4 linked regions of the Arabidopsis thaliana genome follow. The protein of the gene in region 4 interacts with the protein of the main gene of each other region in a biochemical or structural test. Each region holds a gene or a part of one and is shown on either strand. Other genes may lie near its edges. The genes, in order: MPK5, MPK16, ATMPK8 and AT1G71450.

Region 1 (4,668 bases), on a different chromosome or scaffold from region 4:
ACACAATCTTTTCCCACGGAACAAAGATTATTTATTAGTATCCATATACATACAAATATACAATACACTCAAGCCACTCATATTTCGTACTTGATCAAGATATTTTCCCCCGGTAAAATCCAATTTAGAATTGTACAACATATATATTGGAAGTTCCGTTGTGTCATACCGTCACACTAATAATACAGCATACCAATAATAGAGCGCAAACGTTTCACATTGAATAGTTCACCACATATCAACTTGAGTAAATTATTATGCTTAGAGTTGTTGTCTTTTTGTTTTTTTATTTTTTTTGAATATCTGGAAATTCAAACTCAAAGACCTTACATTTTCTAGAGGCGGGATCCACACCAGATTAAATTCATATCCTTTGGGAAAGAAATCTCTTCCAACATGCCTCAAACCCAGTATTTCTAACTGAGAGATTTACCTACATAATTCAACAATCATGTCTATTATGTTTTCAATTTAGGATATCTAAAAATATTGTGAAGATAAACGAAACAAAACTTGAGGGAAAAAAAACAGTCACGTGAGTCATGAGTTATAAAGCATGGATAATGTTGGAGATCTAATTAATCTAATTGAATGCCACATCAAATTAAGCCAATCAGTGGAGAAGATCAATAATAAAAGTGAATTGGATCTGCCACTACACTTTTAGCATGAATATGGCTAAAAGAGATTGGTATTGGTAATGGTATCGTTGTCGGAGATTGTCGTACCAATTAAATAACATGTAATTATTGGATATATATTATATTGTGTCGGCCTAGTCATATTTGATGTGTAAGTGCGAGTGATTTGAGTTAGATATGGGGTATTTTACGAGGAAAATATTGAACAATTTAGGGTATTTTAAGGGTTGTAGTTTGAGCATCACAAGTTAATTATATTTAGGTTCTGCGTAAATTTGACTCAAAAGATTAAGTTATCAAAAGAAACCTCGTATAATATGATCCATATTAATTTTCTTTTTTTTATATAGAAAAGTTGAAGATTATGAGTAAATTGGTAAACTCGCGATATTCCAGAGTTCAAAACGTAATTTTAATGACAATTTGGTGAATAGTATAAATTAATATATTAAGTAAAAGATAACATTCTATTCGATATTGGTTTAATATGTCAACTGTTATATGTACATATAAGATGTTACTGATATATTAAGTGAATAATATGATATTCACCAAAAAAAATTGTATAATGAATGTGACTTTGAGTTGAAAGTTTGAAAACGAAGAGACTATAACATTTGAAGGAATCTATGGAATACGGGTGTGGAACCAATAGTGGAGGCCCTCTTCATAAACCGAGTTTCCCGAGATCCAAATTGTGCTGATGGAGCGGTTTCTAACGTTCTTGTCGATAATACTTGCAAGCTTGGCCGAAGGAACAGAAGAGTTACCATGACGTCTACCATTACGCTCGCACCACAAAGTATGAATTGATTATATGGAATACATACCTTAGAATGAAAGTATGTAGTTTTGGATGAGAATCATCAAGTAGAAGAGGAGAGATTAAACTCCAACTTGTATTGTATCTCAGTATCTGTTGCGAAGAATTCCTTTAGTGAGAGATGTGTATTGATAGGTGAAAAGGAAAAGGTCTCTTACTTTCATATTACGTGGGCCTCATAACATAGACCAGAGCTGATAGCATACCTCTCTCTATATTAAATAGATGGGCCAGGCCCAAACGTTTACCCATCTGTATTTATTACAAAGTACACGTGGCTGATGGACATGTGACGATACGTTTTGACCTATTCAAAATATTCAAACTAATGAAAAAGAGTCGTTGTCCTCTGACGCGTCTCTCTCTATCTCCTTAGATTTTCAAAGTTTTCAACATTCAACAAAATCATTATTTTAATTTTGCAGAGACGAATCGAATCGATCTCATCTCCAAAAATCTTGTATTCAAAGTTTGATTTTCTGGGTTTCTTCTGTATTATCTCGATATTTGAAAAAAATGGCGAAGGAAATTGAATCAGCGACAGATTTAGGTGATACTAACATCAAAGGAGTTCTTGTTCATGGAGGAAGATATTTTCAATACAATGTTTATGGAAACTTGTTTGAAGTTTCTAATAAGTATGTTCCTCCTATTCGACCTATTGGTAGAGGAGCTTACGGTTTTGTCTGGTACAACTTCTACCCTTTTGTGTATTTCATATTCTTGTTTCTTACTTAGTATTTGTAACCCTAATTAGATAAAGAACTAAGTATTGGTATAGGTTTTTGAATTAGGGTTGCTTGCAAAATTTGATCTTTTTTGGATTTAAGAAAGGTTCTGTCTTCAAAATCATAGTTTAAATTGAATGAATTTGATGATTTGTTTGTGTTTGTGTTTATGTATAAGCAAAATGATTCATGAGAGTATTGGTTTATTGTTATAGTGCTGCAGTAGATTCGGAGACACACGAAGAGATTGCGATAAAGAAGATAGGTAAAGCCTTTGATAATAAAGTAGATGCAAAGAGAACATTGAGAGAGATTAAGCTACTTCGTCATTTAGAACACGAGAACGTAAGTTTTGTACTCTATTTTCGCGGTAAACGATTAGAGTTTCTAGCTAATGTGGTCTTGACTTGTACAGGTTGTTGTTATAAAAGATATCATTAGACCACCAAAGAAGGAAGATTTCGTTGATGTTTATATAGTTTTTGAGTTAATGGATACTGATCTTCATCAGATTATTCGATCAAACCAATCTTTGAATGATGATCATTGTCAGGTACGGTTTTTACTCTGCTATATTTGATACTATGGTTGATTTAATCACAAGTGATTCACTTTTTCTTCTTTTGCAGTACTTCTTGTATCAGATTCTACGAGGACTCAAATATATTCATTCAGCAAATGTTTTACATCGTGACCTTAAGCCGAGTAATTTGCTTTTGAATTCGAATTGCGATCTTAAGATTACTGACTTTGGTTTGGCAAGGACTACATCAGAAACAGAGTATATGACAGAGTATGTTGTAACACGATGGTACAGAGCACCAGAGCTGCTTCTTAATAGTTCTGAGTATACATCTGCTATTGATGTATGGTCTGTTGGTTGCATATTTGCTGAGATTATGACAAGGGAACCGCTTTTCCCGGGGAAGGATTACGTTCATCAGCTTAAACTTATCACTGAGGTATGATGTTCTGTTTTAGAAAGATCTGTACAAATGTTGGAAACTTTTATTTGTGTGTTGCAATGTGTTTATGAGTTGTTTCATGTGGTTGAGTAGTTGATAGGATCACCTGATGGAGCGAGTCTAGAGTTTCTCAGAAGCGCGAACGCGAGAAAATATGTTAAGGAGCTACCTAAGTTCCCAAGACAAAACTTTTCAGCTAGGTTTCCTAGTATGAATTCTACAGCTATCGATCTACTAGAGAAAATGCTCGTGTTTGATCCAGTAAAACGTATCACGGGTATGATGAGAAAAATTGTACATAGCGAGATTGGCATATGGGTGATGAATCCTTGATCATACTCTTTGTTTTGCAGTTGAGGAAGCACTGTGTTATCCTTACTTGTCAGCTCTTCACGACCTTAACGACGAGCCTGTTTGTTCCAACCATTTCAGTTTCCATTTTGAGGATCCGTCTTCCACTGAAGAAGAGATAAAGGAGCTTGTGTGGCTCGAATCTGTGAAGTTCAATCCTCTGCCGAGCATTTAAAACATTATTTAAGAAGGGGAAAGCAAGTTTTATACTCTGACATTGAGCAAAACAAATTAGTAGTGTTTAAGCTCTGTTTCTCCTTCATCTCATGTTGATCGTTGTTTAAGCTATTTCACTAGTTAAAAAAGCTGTCTTGCAACTCAAGAAATTGTTCTATAAGGATCCTTGTAACCCAAGACATATCTTTAGTAGTTATGTCCATTCTTATTATCAGGATGTCTTAGATAGTGTTCTGTTTCTTCTACATATCATGTTGTTATCTTGTAACTCAAGAAATTAAATTAAAAAGCTATCTTTGTTTAGACTTGTATCATGTCACTTGGATTGTACTCGTAGAAAATGGGAAAAACTCGATGTGTTTATTCATCTCCAGCAGTTTCTTCAAGCACTACGTCGAGCTCTTGCAAATTTTGGTAATGAACACTAGTTCGATCCTTCACTCTCGAAACTCGACAAAAAAGTCTATCAACTTCGTCTCTTGACTCTATTCGAGTGATATTTTCATCATCTAGAAGGACGTTGATCCCACTCCTTCGTAACGCGGCTCTAAGAAGGCTGGAGAACTTGTTGCGGATCTCTCGACTCCGAAAACTTATGTAAACTTGATGTTGCGGCGTAATCTAGAGATTTTACAATGATTAGCCACTAGATTTATACAATAATTATATATATATAATTAACATACAGTATGTTCTTTTGTACACACCTTTTTTTTTTCTTTGTCATTGGCAATATTTCAATTTCTCTAATTCTAGAACTACATAATTTTTGATTTAATAGGATTACGTACGTGTGATGAGGAAACGTTGTCAAGCATTGCCTTAACCTTCTCGACGATTTCATTTACGAAGGTTGCTTGGTTGCTTCCAAAACAAAGTAAGAAAGAAAACAAATCATATAAGTATGATAACAATGTCGCAAATGGAAGAAACTACTGTTAAATGACCTCATTTTTAGTACGTAAGATTTTGAAAGTTATAAA
Region 2 (5,940 bases), on a different chromosome or scaffold from region 4:
TGCATTATGTCTATATGTTTCGACTTTGCTTTGATCATGTTTGCTTGTTTTGGTTATGAGTTTGTGACAGGTTGCTCCTAAGAAGAAAGGCAGGATTTATGGGGCTGGTTCATTGCAGCATGAGGCGTCTTCGGCGCATGCCGGACCGGTGCTTCCTCGAGATGATCCGGTTGTGCTTTCCCAGAAGCTGGCTGCTGTTGAAGCCCTCATTGCAAACCAGGCTGAGAAGATCACCAGTTTTGACGCATACTTTGATTACCTTGCCAAGAAGGATCCAGAGTTTGCTGCCTTGTTTCGAGTCAGATCCTCTTCAAGAACTGAACCAGTCAGCTCCAATCCACCTGATGCGCCTAATGCCACAACTGCTGGGATCGGACCTGAAGCTGTCGAACCTGAGGCTGTTGTAGCTAACCCAAACACTGGGTCATCTCCATCTGAGGCTTTCTAACATTCTGTATTAAGTTTCTTTTTCACTCATCAAAACTTGAATCTTTTGTTGGTTTGTTATGTAAAATTATTTGGCCTTCTAACATTCTGTATTCAGTTTCTTTTTCTGTACTTGAAACCTAAAATTTCAGCTTTTAAATATGAGTTTAAGGTTTCTTAATTAGTATTCAACTTCAAAGTTTAGTATAAAAATCCAATTAAGATAACCATTAAATATTGTTAAGTAGAACAGTAATCCCTATATTCAACAGTAATCATGCTTAAAACAAAACAGAAAAGAGTCGCTTATTTACCGCGAATCCATCGCAAACTTTACTACGGATTTGCGACTACAGATAAAAGCCACGCAAATCCATCGCAAATTTTGCGAGGCATTAGCGGGACAAAGAATTTGCGACTACTTTGCTACTGAAGTATTCCCTCGCAACTTGCGAGGAAAGAGCGAGGCTACTGTTGCAGCTAATATGCTACCGAGTACGTCCCTCGCAAATTGCGTGTGCTTCGCGAGTCTGGTCGTCCGTCGCAACTAGCGAGAAACTTGCGAGACCCGAAATTTGCTGTGAATTTGCTACGGATTGCTTCCCTTGCAAATTGCGTGTGTTTTGCGAGGCAACTTGTTCCTCGCAACATTTGCGAGGAACTTGCTACGAATTTGATTTTACGACGCGCGTTTTGCGAGGAACTGGAGTTCGTCGCAATTCCCTCGCTAAATGCTTTTTGCGAGAGACTAGCGACGGTTTCTTCCCTCGCAACTGGCGTGTTTTCTTGTAGTGACATCTACTTGAAGATTTAAAGCTTCGCTTTATTTATACGTTTGAAATCGATGCAAATGCAATTTTTCCAACCATGCAAAAGTTTACGCATGCAAGCACCTACAGTTATGAAGCAATTTCAAAGAACCCACCAAAGACAGAAGATATTAGATACGAAATACATATTTCAAATAAAATACTAGATTGACGATTGCATATATAAGTTTTTGTAAGTTTCTTGTACCATTGTACATAACTCATAAATATTGTCTCTAGATAATTAAGTATGTCTTATCGGTCAAATTCTATATCTTAAAAATAAGTAAGATTACTCATTAACTGCATACGAAAAAAAATTTAAACCACTCATTTCAATCGGATTCGAAATATAGGATAATCCACTTCATTTATATGTCTTTAACAACGACTATGACACGAAAGAAAATTATAAAGTAAACGAACTATTTATTATTGTAATAATTATAAGTCATCACTAATCCATAATAAATCGGATATCTATTCATTAAGAAGAGCATATATTAAAATAGTTTATACAAAAATATCCACACTGTATTATATTCGACGTTTGGACATTATCCAAAAGCTAGATTTAAGACAAAAGTCGCAAGTACCCATAAACCTTGGGGGGCAAATTGGAGTTTTCGTACAACGATAATCAGACTCCACTTATCCGCTTTTTTCAATTATCACAATAAAAGAAACGAATAATAATAATATTTTAATAATTTGTTCTGTTCTGTTCTTCATCTCATAGATCTCTCCTCTCTACACTTTCTTCTACAAAAGTGAGCAAATAAACTTGCCTCTTCGTCTGCTTCGTGAGATTTCAGATCCTGTAAAGAAATTTTATTAGCTCAAAAGAATCATTTTTGGGTTTCTGAACCATAAAAGCTTCTCTCGACTTTCAAAAACTCTCTCCTTTTTCCTTTTAGCCATTTCAAGCAGAGAGATTGATCGAAGAAGATAAAAACCTCGTCTTTCTTCAATCTCAGTGATTCTCAAATTACCCATCGCTTCCTTCTTTTGATCTCTTTGATTTCACTTCAAAAAGCAAAGAAATCTCGATTAGGTTATTCCTTGTTTCACCCCATAAATTTGCCTCCTTTTTTTTGGTCTCGGGAACTACTCTGATTTGTTTCAATCGATTCTGGATTTCGGGATTTGGATATAGAGCTCTCTGTTTTTGACATTGCCTTTGGAACTAAAATTCTCAGTCTTTGCATTTTTTTGATTCAAAAGCTCACTAAGTTTGGGTTTCAGAAGCTATTACATTTGGTCTTCGTAAGCGTCCTTTGAATGCCCTGTAGCTGAAGATGCAGCCTGATCACCGCAAAAAGGTCCAATTTTTCAATCTCTTATGTATCAGATTTGCTTATTAGAACTGATTAGGATCTGTAGCAATCCTTTTTACTGTTACTGCCTTTTAGTTTAGTCCTAATCTTTCTCTGTATTGAAGCTTTTGATATTGACAATAGATTTTTCTGTATATTCAGTCATCAGTTGAGGTAGATTTCTTCACGGAATATGGTGAAGGAAGCAGATACAGAATAGAGGAAGTGATTGGTAAAGGAAGTTATGGAGTTGTCTGTTCTGCTTACGATACACATACCGGAGAGAAAGTTGCGATTAAGAAAATCAATGATATCTTTGAGCATGTTTCGGATGCAACTCGCATTCTTCGTGAGATCAAACTTCTTAGACTCTTACGCCATCCTGACATTGTTGAGATCAAACACATCTTGTTGCCGCCTTCAAGAAGAGAGTTTCGAGACATTTACGTGGTTTTCGAGCTTATGGAATCTGATTTGCATCAGGTTATTAAGGCAAATGATGATTTGACTCCTGAGCATTATCAGTTTTTCCTCTATCAGCTTCTTCGTGGCCTCAAGTATATACACACAGGTTAAGCTAGCGAGCAATAAAATTTCATTGATTAGTATAAGTTTATGATTATCTTTCTGAAAATACTTTTTTTTTCTCTTCCTTTCAGCTAATGTCTTTCATCGGGATCTTAAACCCAAAAACATATTGGCAAATGCTGATTGCAAACTCAAGATCTGTGATTTTGGACTTGCAAGAGTCGCATTCAATGATACACCGACTGCGATATTCTGGACTGTGAGTAGTAGTAATTTAAATGCTTACTCTTTACAAGTTTACTCTTTTTGGTATGAAACCAATTTTTTATTCCTACTGCTTTCTGATCGCAGGATTATGTAGCTACTCGATGGTACAGGGCTCCAGAACTATGTGGATCTTTTTTCTCAAAGGTGACCATGATTTTGTATATATACTTTCATCGAATGTTTCAAATTTTCATAGGGAATCTAGTCAGTAGACACTATAGCTCTCTCATTCAGATTATAAAATTTTATGGTAACATTTTTTTTCTTTATCTATGCTTCTGTTCAGTATACACCGGCAATAGATATATGGAGCATCGGGTGCATTTTTGCAGAACTCTTAACAGGGAAACCTCTTTTCCCCGGGAAAAATGTGGTCCATCAATTGGATCTGATGACGGATATGCTGGGAACTCCATCTGCTGAAGCCATTGGAAGGGTATGTGTTCCTTTCCACAATGCTTAAGCATTGTTTCTTTTTTTGGCTGAATTTCTTACACTGAAACAGGTTAGGAACGAGAAAGCTCGAAGATACTTGAGCAGCATGAGGAAGAAGAAGCCTATTCCTTTTTCACATAAGTTCCCACATACTGATCCTCTTGCTCTTCGTCTTCTAGAAAAGATGTTGTCTTTTGAACCCAAGGACCGGCCTACAGCTGAAGAGGTGGTTCATACATTTCGTTCTTTACACTCCTTATGATGTAACTTTGGTTATAGCTAACTAAATGGTTTTATGTGTTACCTCAGGCGCTTGCAGATGTGTACTTCAAGGGTTTAGCTAAGGTTGAAAGAGAGCCTTCTGCTCAACCTGTCACAAAGTTGGAATTTGAGTTTGAAAGGCGGAGGATCACAAAAGAAGACGTCCGAGAGCTCATATACAGAGAGTCTCTGGAGTACCACCCAAAGATGCTGAAAGAATACTTGGATGGATCAGAGCCAACTAACTTTATGTACCCGAGGTACCGGCCTGAGCTGACCTGCTTCATACTATACTCCTGTGTATTATCCATGTTCTTATGGTTAATGTATTATTCATTCTGCAGTGCGGTGGAACATTTCAAGAAACAATTTGCTTACCTCGAGGAACACTACAAGAATGGTACTTCTCATAATCCCCCTGAGAGGCAACAGCATGCATCATTACCAAGGTATGCTTTACGTCCTTTAAAAATTTGATCATTTGGGATTCTTTCGAAACAGCTCAACAAAGCCTCTTTTTATGTTTTGCAGGGCTTGCGTATTGTACTCTGATAACAATCATCCGGTGGCACAACAGAGTTCAGCTGAAGTCACTGATGGACTCTCCAAGTGTAGCATTAGAGACGAGAGACCTCGGGGTGCAGACAGGAATGCCCAGATGCCAATGTCGAGAATTCCTATCAACGTCCCTCAAACAATCCAAGGTCTCTCACCCTCTCTGTATATAATGTTATGATGCAGAATAACTCTGTCTCCTGAACATTTATCTGGTTGTAATGAAGCAGGTGCTGCAGTAGCTAGGCCTGGTAAAGTAGTTGGATCAGTGTTACGCTATAACAACTGCGGCGCAGCCACAGGCGTTGAAGCTCTTGAACAACAACAGAGAAGGATGGTCAGAAATCCAGCTGCTGCGTCTCAATACCCAAAGAGGACTCAACCTTGCAAAAGCAACAGAGGAGATGAAGATTGCGCCACCGCTGCTGAAGGTCCAAGTAGATTGAAGCCAAACACTCAGTATATACCACAAAAAGTGTCTGCAGCACAAGATACTGCAATGAGTCGCTGGTATTAAACATGATGTTATGGTTCTAGTTTTAGCTTTACCACCTCACGTCTCAGGGAGAGCTAAAAAGAGTATCCCTTTGAGTCATCCATTGTGTTATCAAGAGCCGAAACGTGAAGACATGCTTAAGAGCGAAATGAGAGAAGGAAGCGTGAGAAGATAAAAGAAGTTCTTACAGATCCTGTCATGTAATTTGTCTTCATAGTTTTGTATTCTTAAAACAACCTTTGTTTATCTACGTTGTAACACTTACACTGTCTACGATTCTTATATCCCATGAACTCAATCTGTTTCACCTAATAATCTGATATGCACCAACAATAAACCCCAAATTTCATTGGATCTTTGATTTATGAGAAAACGCGTTGAAAACGATTCATTGTACTTGCTAGATCCGATTAGATCAGCCATTATCCATAACAGAGATTATACAATGCACAAATCTTTCTTCTTTCTCTCCCATTCAGTGCAACCGGGGCTTCACTCGTCTTCCACTCGCGTCACAACCATCGGCAAATATTTCTTTTCGATGTCCAGATACTATAACAGAGTGTTCACTTAGCCTCGCCACATACTGCAATAGCTCCGTTAGTAAAGATGGGCAACTCTCTTTCAGATAATCAAACCCATCTGTTTGCATCACAGCTGATCATAACAAAAGGGAAAAAACAGACACAAGTCTCATCATGTGAACAGAGTTGATTCAGATCGATTAAAAAGAAAGATCTTGTGTGTTTACCTTTCAGGTTCTCTGGCAGTGCCACGAATTTGAGACACACTGCTTTTAGCTGCAAACAATGATGCTGCTCTGCTAGGGCCAAAGTAGTTGCAACCG
Region 3 (5,764 bases), about 21 Mb from region 4:
TTTATATTTGTAGTGGTCATAATTTGAAGTCAAATTCCAAAGTTTGGCGGCATGATCCATTAGTATAATGTTAGTTTTTTTTCACTTTTAAACATGCACAAATTCAATTAGTATTTCTACTAAATAATGTAAAAACAGTGTAGCCTAATTGCTTTAACCAATCTGGCGTCTGTGGACTTTGTTCGCCATATATACATCAACTTTTTGCAGTTTCTTTTTCTTATCGAGACTGTAGTTTGGAGTTGGTGAGTAAGCTCCCTGGAGCTCACTTTACTCGACCATACCATTATTTCTGACCTCTTTTTCAAAAACCCGATTTTGTTCATTTTTTTTCTTCTTCTTTTTGTCGTTTTATTTATTTTATTTTGTCGTTATGAGATTAGTCCAAGAATGGTATCAATTCAGATGGACCATGGAATATAAATAATAGATATTAGGTTAGTCTTCGTCATTAAAAAGCCAACTAACACAGCATTATTATTATGTGTGCTAATTTTTTAGTCTTATCTTTTTTACTTTTAAGAAGTCGAGTATGTTCTTCAGGTTAATATAATTTATTATATAAGACCCAATATCCCGGTTTGACCTGGACCGGATCATACCAATCACACAAACTCTCCCAAAGTACTGAAGCAAAGTGAATACTGAATAGTATATAAATAATTTCAAAATATGAGTGTTTAAAGAAAAGAGAGAAACAAAAAAATTACATGGAGATCGATGTTTTTATTTAAAGTTTCATCAAACCCCCAAAACTATTAAATACAACAAATCAAACCCAACCACGAAGATAGATGTGGATGAATGGAGAAACCAATTTCTTTTCACCAGAAAACTTTCGTGAAAAAAGAAAAGAAAAGAAAAAAAATAACTAAATCATTTTTAAGAATTGTGAAGAGAAGCAACTTTATCAGTAAGCTCTGCAACTGTTTCATTATCTTCTTCCTCAGCTATGGTATCCTGCAAACAAAGAGAAAAGAACAACAGTAAGCAAACTTCATCGTCATGTTCCTTTTCAAGATCTTCTGTTTTTCTTTCTTTCTTTCTTTACTAACTAACCTCTTTGTCAGTTTTAGATTGGACACCAATGCATTTAGAACCGCTGATGCTTGCACTCTTCATGAGGTTACGAGCACTGTAACCTCCTCCATTGTCTGCTTCCTCGGATTCCAAGGTTGAAGCCACAGCAGCTGCTGCTCTTCTCTCAACATCACTGCTTTCTTCTGCAGTTTCACCATTTGGAGCAGGAACTCTCTCTCTGCAACATCATCATAGAGAAGCACAATGCTCTCAGAGGGAGATTGAGAAGAGAAGAGAAGAGATAGAGAGATTCTGTGAAAGACATTACCTTGGCAAGGAAGCATGATGTCTGTGAAGTGCAGTACTTCTTCCTCCTCCTGCTGCTCCTGGTTTACCTTGATTTTCTTCAAGATGAGCAAATTGCCTTTTAAATCGGTCTACCCCACTGCGCGTAAACAACAAAAAGATTTATCGAGTTCATAACTTTCTGTTTTCAAGACTTATAGTTTCTGTTAACTGTTAATTAGCTAACCTTGGGTACATAAAGCTAAGCTGATCACCACCACGAAGGTATTCCTCCAACATCTGAGGATGATATTCCAATATCTGATATTTACAAAATCCAAAGAAAAGTGATTGTTAGGATCAATGAATAACATTGAAACAAATTCAGATTAAAGAAAAGGATATATGTAGAAGGCTTTTGTGTTTGTTTGTTACCTCTCGGTAAATTAATTCTCTGACATCATCTTTAACTAACTTCTTTCTCTCAAAGTCAAATTCAAGCTTTGAAATTGGCTGTGTTGTTGGTTCACGCTCTGAATTTGACAAACCACTGAAATATGGATCAGCTAGTGCCTGTAATATGAAAATCAAAAACGACGAATATAAGAGTTTCGTTCTGTATAAAACAAAAGGGAAAAGTAAAGCAAATTTACTTCTCACTTACATCTTCAGCTGATGCACGATCTTTCGGATCAAAGGCAAGCAGGCGTTCCAGAAGGCGGAGAGCCAAAGGATCAGCTTTAGGGAATTTATGAGAGAAAGGGACTGGTTGTTTTTTCCTCATGCTGCTAAGATATCTCCTCGCCTTTTCATTTCTAATCTGTAGAAGTCCAAGATTGCAAAGCTCATTACAAGGATTAAATTACTCTCAATGATGTATGGAACATTAAATTTGCTACAGAAAATATGAACAAGTGTTTTGAGTGACTAACCCTTGATATTGACTCAGGAGGTGGAGTACCAAGAAAGTCAGTCATTAGATCCAATTGGTGCACAACGTTTTTCCCGGGAAACAAAGGCTTACCCAAAAGCATTTCCGCAAAAATGCAACCGACACTCCAGATATCAATCGCAGGGGTATACTGAAATATAACAAGAGTAGACTTAGCTTGAGATGGCTGGTCTTCTCAACAACACTATAGAACCACACAACAATATTCTACAAAATAGAAAACTAGAAGCATTTTCCTGGTAGGGAGAAATAGCAAGAGTAGTTGGGTTTGGTGAAAAAGAATCTTACTTTGGAGAAAAACGATCCACAGAGTTCAGGGGCACGATACCACCGAGTAGCTACATAATCCTACAAAATCCATATAAACGAAATGAGCTCACAAGCATTTGAAAATAGTTAAGAGGAAGCCTAATGAACAGTTTTGCTTTCACATTGAGTTAGATGACTCACAGTCCAAAATATAGCGGTTGGGGCATCGTTAAAAGAAACGCGAGCCAGCCCAAAATCACAGATCTTCAATTTGCAATCAGCATTAGCTAGAATGTTCTTCGGTTTCAAATCCCGATGAAACACATTAGCTGAAAACAGAGAACCCTTAAGTGTTTCAATATTATCTATAACAAAAATCATGAGGATCGAAAGAGACCAATGTGTAAAACCAGAAACTAACCTGCGTGAACATATTTCAGACCACGAAGAAGCTGGTACAAGAAAAACTGATAATGCTCAGGAGTCAAATCATCATTCGCCTTGATCACTTGATGAAGATCAGATTCCATCAACTCAAAGACAACATAAATATCGCGGAATTCTCTGCGAGAAGGAGGTAACATGATGTGTTTAATCTCCACAACATCAGGATGACGAAGCAACCGAAGCAATTTGATCTCTCTGAGAATCCTAGTAGCATCGGAGACATGCTCAAACACATCGTTGATCTTCTTGATCGCAACTCTCTCTCCAGTGTGTGAGTCAACAGCAGAAGCCACAACACCATAACTTCCTTTGCCAACAACCTCTTGAATCTGATACCTGTTAGCTTCTCCATACTCCGTGAAGAATTCAGTTTCACCCTGAAGAATTTTATTCATGATTCATACTTAAAATTGACCAAAATGATGGATCAAGACAATAAGATCAATCAAACGAAACACAAAACTGAAACTTTATCCTTTTGTGGAAGCAAATGCAATAACACAGAACATTAAGAGAACAAAACAAGTCTCTTCAATCTCAATCAAAAGACAACATCTAAGAGCAAATAGCATAAAAGGGTAGAGAAGGAGAAGAAGAAAGGTACCTTCTTGTGAGGATCCATAGGTAAATGATTACGTTTAGGAACGTTAATAAGCGTTAGACCAGAGAAATCGAGATCTTCTTCAATAATAAGCTCTCCAGAGTTAGCGGAATGATTGGGGTTAGAGGAAGAAGAGAAAGAAGAAGAATTGAAAATGGGTTGTTCGTGATTATTATTATTATTGTTGGAAGAAGAAGAAGAAGAAGAAGAAGAAGGTCGCTGAAAAAGCCATCGACGAACACCGTCGACGAGATTCCCACCACCACCCATAGACCACTACTAGATTAGAAAAGAAAAAGATTAGTAATTTACAAAATTGGGTATCCGAAATTCCTTGAGAGCCAAACAATTACCGTCAAGTCACCGTCTTTCTCGCCGCGTCTCTCGGTTTTGTCCTTCGGAGTTGGAGACCATGTTCTTCTCCTATTTTTTCATTTTTTTTTTAATTTTCTTTTTATGTTTTTTTCATTATTTATGCTCAGATATTTATTTTTTTCCCCTGCTTGATTATTAGAGAGAGTGAGTGGAGGGAGAAGAACAAAATATTTAAACCTTTGGAATATTTCGACGACCCGGTTTGTCTATACCGGTTAATGATAACCTGATTCGGGCATATGCATTTATTGAGTATATGGGCCTACAAAGCGGCCCATACAATAAATGTATTTTCGTTCAATCACTAAACGGATTAAACTCAACCGGACAAGGTTCGAAATTAAGAAGATGTTAGATGTTACATTACAAACCGGAATTAAAAGTCTAATTATGAATCTGAGACACAAAAAAAGAGAGAGTAAAAACGCCTTGCTCGTTCGGTCGCGTTGATGATATGAACATATATTTCATCATGAGCTGAGCAGGTCCAGGAGTCTGTTGCGGTTCGAGCACATCATAGTTATTGGGTCATAAATGAATCCGACAGTAGCGTAATCTAAGCATTTTTTAGTGAATAATACGCTTGATGATATATGTGATATGTCATGGGAGGATAATGCATAAGGTGGTGAGCGAAGCATTTTTTCAGCCAAAAAGACAAAATTTTATTTGAATAAATGATATCAAACAAATCCAGATACGCGAAGGAATATTGAATATGGAAAGCACGATCGTAAACAATTCTGCGATTTATCATTTCTTATTTTTTTTAACAAAATGTACGGTTTTGCATGATATATTTGCATTAAAAATGAATTGGTAAGTTTTTAAATAGCTCTATATTTGCATTAAGCTTTGACTGATTGTACAAAAAATAGAGTAATTTTTTAATTACAGTAGCAAAAAAAAGCAAAACAAAATTCAATTCTCTCCAGCTCAAAAATCCACTCTTCATCCTCTACTATACTCGTATCTATCTATCTACTCTACTCTGTTTTACGTAAGTTTTTTTTAGTTGATTTTCTTTTGTCGGACTTTAAGAGAGAGAAAGTGGCGTCTTTGTGGACTTTCTCAATTCAGGAGAGAGTCAAAGAGAAGGAAGAGGCTTCGCTTACTTGCTGAGAAAAAAGCTCCAAACTTTCTCTTATTGGGTTTTTGATCAGCTCCGGAGATAAAAAAAAAAAGTATTTTCTTGAAATCGAAATCTGATCTCCATTGAGAGTCTTGCTACTTGATTTGGATTCCGATTTAAGGTTTTCTCGAGAATTCTTTTGCTGCAGTTATTAGATTTTGACGAGCCGTTGATCTGGACGGAGTTCCAGATCTCCGGGTCGTGGTACCAAGGAATTAGGGTTTTAGCACAAAGTTCTCGTTTTTCTGTGTATTCGAGGGATGAAGGAGTTTTCGGGTCGATGTTCGCTGCTCTAACATTTGGAGTATGAAGATGAACATGAAGAAATTTCTCAAAAAGCTTCGTATCACGCCCAATCAACGAGACGATGGTGAAGGTTCAGTCTCTAACAGAAGCAATAAGTCTAGTGATGCAGAACCATCTCCTTCTGATTCATTGAGGTCTCAAGATAACTCTGAATTCAAACCCTTTTTGGGTTTATCAAATTGGTTAAGCTCTGTTACTCACAGGAAAAGCCCTTCTTCTTCCAATGCCACCAATAGCAAAGAGGATGACACTACCATGGAACATGGTGGTCCCGTTGGGTCGGAATCTGGGATGCAGGGTTTGGGTTCTAGTAGTAATTCCAAGGATCCAGAAGTTGAAGAAGAATATCAGATACAGTTGGCTCTAGAGTTAAGTGCTAGGGAGGATCCTGAAGCTG
Region 4 (3,129 bases):
AATTCCTCTATTTCTGTCTCATTTCAAGTTAACTTTATATCTTCTGTCTTTTCCGCCAGAGAAAACAAAAAGCTATCCTTTTCAAACCAAGACTCTTCCCTCCGACACTCATGCAAAGCAGACAGAGATGTGATTTTATACACGTTCGTTCTATTACTCAAAACAAAACAAAAAATTGTCTAAACCGTCTTACTTAAAAGACCGTGATGCAAAGAAATGTAATATTTGTTTTAAAGCATAGGCCGATATATCTCAAATGGTTGCAACAACTGTTTTAAAAAATAAAACACTACGCAAGCAACTACCCAACGTATATAACTCATTTTCTAAACGTGTTAAGATGAAACAATATATATTAGATATTTAGATACATGGGAAACTATCTAAAATATTATCACTGATAATATTTGTATATATATAGACATATATATATATATATATATAATCAAATAGCAAACCATAATATTTTAAAAAATATCATATATGAGAATTAGACAAAACATTATATTCAAAGAATTAAGAATGTCATGTTTTAGTAGGAACGAAATTTAAAAATAATTTATCGAGGCGCACAATCAATTAAAAAAAAAGATTGAACATTAAATGATCATTTATTATCGTATGTGTTGAGTCAACTAAAGCAGTCTAAGAGCATCTAGTTGTCTAACTTCAGTGATAATGTCCGACTAAAAAAAAACTTCATTGATAACAAAAATGCATAATTCCAAAGCTTAAGAGATATTTTGTTTACTTCTTTATTAAAAAAAAAGAGAGAGAGATATTTGCCACAATCTATGACTATATAATGGAATCTAAAATCTAAAAAATAAAATCAGACTAAATAAAGCTACACATAGTTAGATTTTTTTTTTTAACTCATATATATTGATCACACAAAAGAACTATCAATAAAATTCAAATGTGGTAATCAATCAAATGTGGTAGCCTAATGATTAAGGGCATATCTTGTAGATAGATGCTAGGGATCAAAATTTCATCCTTGAAGCAACCAAAATGTCTTAGAATTAGTAAGCTTGATTAGTAAAATAAATTATTACCAATGTTTTTTTATATTACGACCAATGTTTTAATTGATCAATTGACTCAAGAAAAGGAAGATTATTATGACCCAATGAGCTTTGACATTTGTTTTAGGATAAATCCCACTTTTGCACCAACTCTTAGCATCACAAAGTTATGGAATGGATCACAAAAGGGTCCCATAGATGATGCAAGAAAACCGCGTCTACTATAGCAAATCCAATCTCTTAAAACAAAACCTTAATATTCTGCCTCTTTCCTAAAACCTCTCATTAGTTTACTCATATTACTATTTGAGGGAATCTACAGTGCATTGATACTAAATAGATAACACTTGTTACACCCACAAAGGCCCATAACAATTTTGAAGTTTCCTCGAAGCTAACTTTGGAGGCTTTGAGATTTTAAAACGAGTACACAGGAGTTTATCTGCTGTTAAGATACTAATCCACACCTATAAATAAGTGCTGACAGTTACAAACATTCCAACATCAAAATCCAAACAGACAAAATACAAAATACAAAAACAACAAACACTCTTGAGCAAAAACTTTGTGTGCGTGTGTGTGTGTGTTCATGGCTGGTCTTAGGAATTCCGGTAACAGCGACAAAGCGCAAAACGATGGCAAAGGTGTACCATCTGCCTACAGAGGAGTCCGGAAGAGAAAATGGGGGAAATGGGTGTCTGAAATCCGTGAACCGGGGACCAAGAACCGTATCTGGCTAGGCAGTTTCGAGACTCCTGAAATGGCTGCAACCGCATACGACGTGGCAGCATTTCATTTCAGAGGGAGAGAAGCTCGTCTCAACTTCCCTGAGCTCGCCAGCAGCCTTCCACGTCCTGCAGACTCTAGCTCAGACAGCATTCGCATGGCAGTTCATGAGGCAACACTCTGCCGCACCACCGAAGGAACAGAGTCAGCCATGCAAGTGGACAGCTCAAGCTCCTCCAATGTAGCTCCAACAATGGTCAGACTCTCGCCCAGGGAAATTCAAGCGATCAACGAGTCAACTTTGGGATCTCCTACTACAATGATGCATTCAACATACGACCCTATGGAGTTTGCTAATGATGTGGAGATGAATGCTTGGGAAACATACCAGAGTGACTTTCTTTGGGACCCTTAACCCCAAAACCTAACTCATGGAGAGCTTCTACAGCTCAATCTTACAATACCAGCATAAGTTACTGGCTTAGAATACTTAAATTTATTGAAGTTTAGTTTTCAGAGTCTACCACAAGGGTTGTTGATTCTGACGTTATAGCAAAGAATAAAGCTCATCAGATTTTGGAGGGAAAGACTCTATGAGCTTGATGGGTCCCTGAAAGGACCTCTTCACAAATATTTTTAAATTTTTTTGTTACTAGTAGAAACATAGATTATGAGGTGTGACTTATTATTATTTTTTACAATTGTTTGTTACCTCATTGATGTATTTGATTTGATATAATATTGAATGGTTTCCTGAAAGCTATAAGATATTTTATTCTTACTAGACTTGTGTTCTCTCTTGACTTTCTTCCCTTAACTAATCTTAAGAAAACTCTACATTTGATACTGCAAGATTTTTACAAGTTGAACAAAATTCAATCATTCTGGAACCAAATTCAGTATATACAGCACTATTAATGCAAGTTCTTGGAAACAAGAGAACAGAATATACTTCTCATAACTCTTCGAGCAACTTACTTGGTGGCTTTGAGAAAAAGCAAAGAAGATGTCTGAATCTGCAGTCAGGTCTGTAGGGATGACGAGGAACTCATGACCGCAAGTCTTTGTGCCTCTTCAACACGACCACACCGATTGAGAAGTTCAATGACCAGTGAATAATGCTCTTCTGATGGCTGCAAATTGTACATCCGGAGCATCAAGTTGAAGAAGCGATAAGCTTCATCAACAAATCCGGCTTGACTGCAAATAGATAAAACTGCTGTAAATGTGAAGGTGTTGGGAGTAAACCCTCTTGATACCATTTGCTCAAAACAGTTTATTGCATCCCTGAAGAGTTCATTGCATCCATAAGCCTCTATAATGGCGGTCCATGTCAGAGAGCCCTTGACAGCAACAGCATCGAAAGAGAAATTAG

What was found.
Region 1: of the proteins of AT1G71450 (region 4) and MPK5, one has a biochemical effect on the other in vitro, tested with the Arabidopsis thaliana proteins (one large-scale study listed by BioGRID).
Region 2: of the proteins of AT1G71450 (region 4) and MPK16, one has a biochemical effect on the other in vitro, tested with the Arabidopsis thaliana proteins (one large-scale study listed by BioGRID).
Region 3: of the proteins of AT1G71450 (region 4) and ATMPK8, one has a biochemical effect on the other in vitro, tested with the Arabidopsis thaliana proteins (one large-scale study listed by BioGRID).

Annotation. Positions count from the first base shown.
Region 1 is NC_003075.7:6,890,163-6,894,830, forward strand, and holds MPK5 (MAP kinase 5), read left to right. Parts: upstream 1-1,763; 5' UTR 1,764-1,980; coding exon 1,981-2,153; intron 2,154-2,407; coding exon 2,408-2,537; intron 2,538-2,607; coding exon 2,608-2,745; intron 2,746-2,821; coding exon 2,822-3,154; intron 3,155-3,250; coding exon 3,251-3,434; intron 3,435-3,510; coding exon 3,511-3,683; 3' UTR 3,684-4,045; downstream 4,046-4,668. Other genes in the region: AT4G11340 (Disease resistance protein (TIR-NBS-LRR class) family), read right to left, coding at 4,046-4,306, 4,477-4,549.
Region 2 is NC_003076.8:6,344,270-6,350,209, reverse strand, and holds MPK16 (mitogen-activated protein kinase 16), read left to right. Parts: upstream 1-1,942; 5' UTR 1,943-2,533; coding exon 2,534-2,557; intron 2,558-2,713; coding exon 2,714-3,122; intron 3,123-3,210; coding exon 3,211-3,338; intron 3,339-3,430; coding exon 3,431-3,490; intron 3,491-3,632; coding exon 3,633-3,782; intron 3,783-3,851; coding exon 3,852-4,007; intron 4,008-4,090; coding exon 4,091-4,302; intron 4,303-4,386; coding exon 4,387-4,491; intron 4,492-4,573; coding exon 4,574-4,746; intron 4,747-4,827; coding exon 4,828-5,114; 3' UTR 5,115-5,440; downstream 5,441-5,940. Other genes in the region: BPM1 (BTB-POZ and MATH domain 1), read right to left, coding at 5,569-5,750, 5,845-5,940.
Region 3 is NC_003070.9:6,243,759-6,249,522, forward strand, and holds ATMPK8 (Protein kinase superfamily protein), read right to left. Parts: upstream 4,055-5,764; 5' UTR 3,908-4,054; exon of another isoform or gene 3,834-3,907; 5' UTR 3,825-3,833; coding exon 3,558-3,824; intron 3,331-3,557; coding exon 2,928-3,330; intron 2,836-2,927; coding exon 2,708-2,835; intron 2,606-2,707; coding exon 2,546-2,605; intron 2,388-2,545; coding exon 2,238-2,387; intron 2,126-2,237; coding exon 1,970-2,125; intron 1,879-1,969; coding exon 1,741-1,878; intron 1,627-1,740; coding exon 1,553-1,626; intron 1,466-1,552; coding exon 1,349-1,465; intron 1,259-1,348; coding exon 1,060-1,258; intron 961-1,059; coding exon 883-960; 3' UTR 540-882; downstream 1-539. Other genes in the region: AT1G18160 (Protein kinase superfamily protein), read left to right, coding at 5,368-5,764. UniProt on the Arabidopsis thaliana protein: MKK3-MPK8 and CAMs-MPK8 modules negatively regulates ROS accumulation through controlling expression of the RBOHD gene during wounding.
Region 4 is NC_003070.9:26,925,471-26,928,599, forward strand, and holds AT1G71450 (Integrase-type DNA-binding superfamily protein), read left to right. Parts: upstream 1-1,541; 5' UTR 1,542-1,617; coding exon 1,618-2,169; 3' UTR 2,170-2,586; downstream 2,587-3,129. Other genes in the region: AT1G71460 (Pentatricopeptide repeat (PPR-like) superfamily protein), read right to left, coding at 2,777-3,129.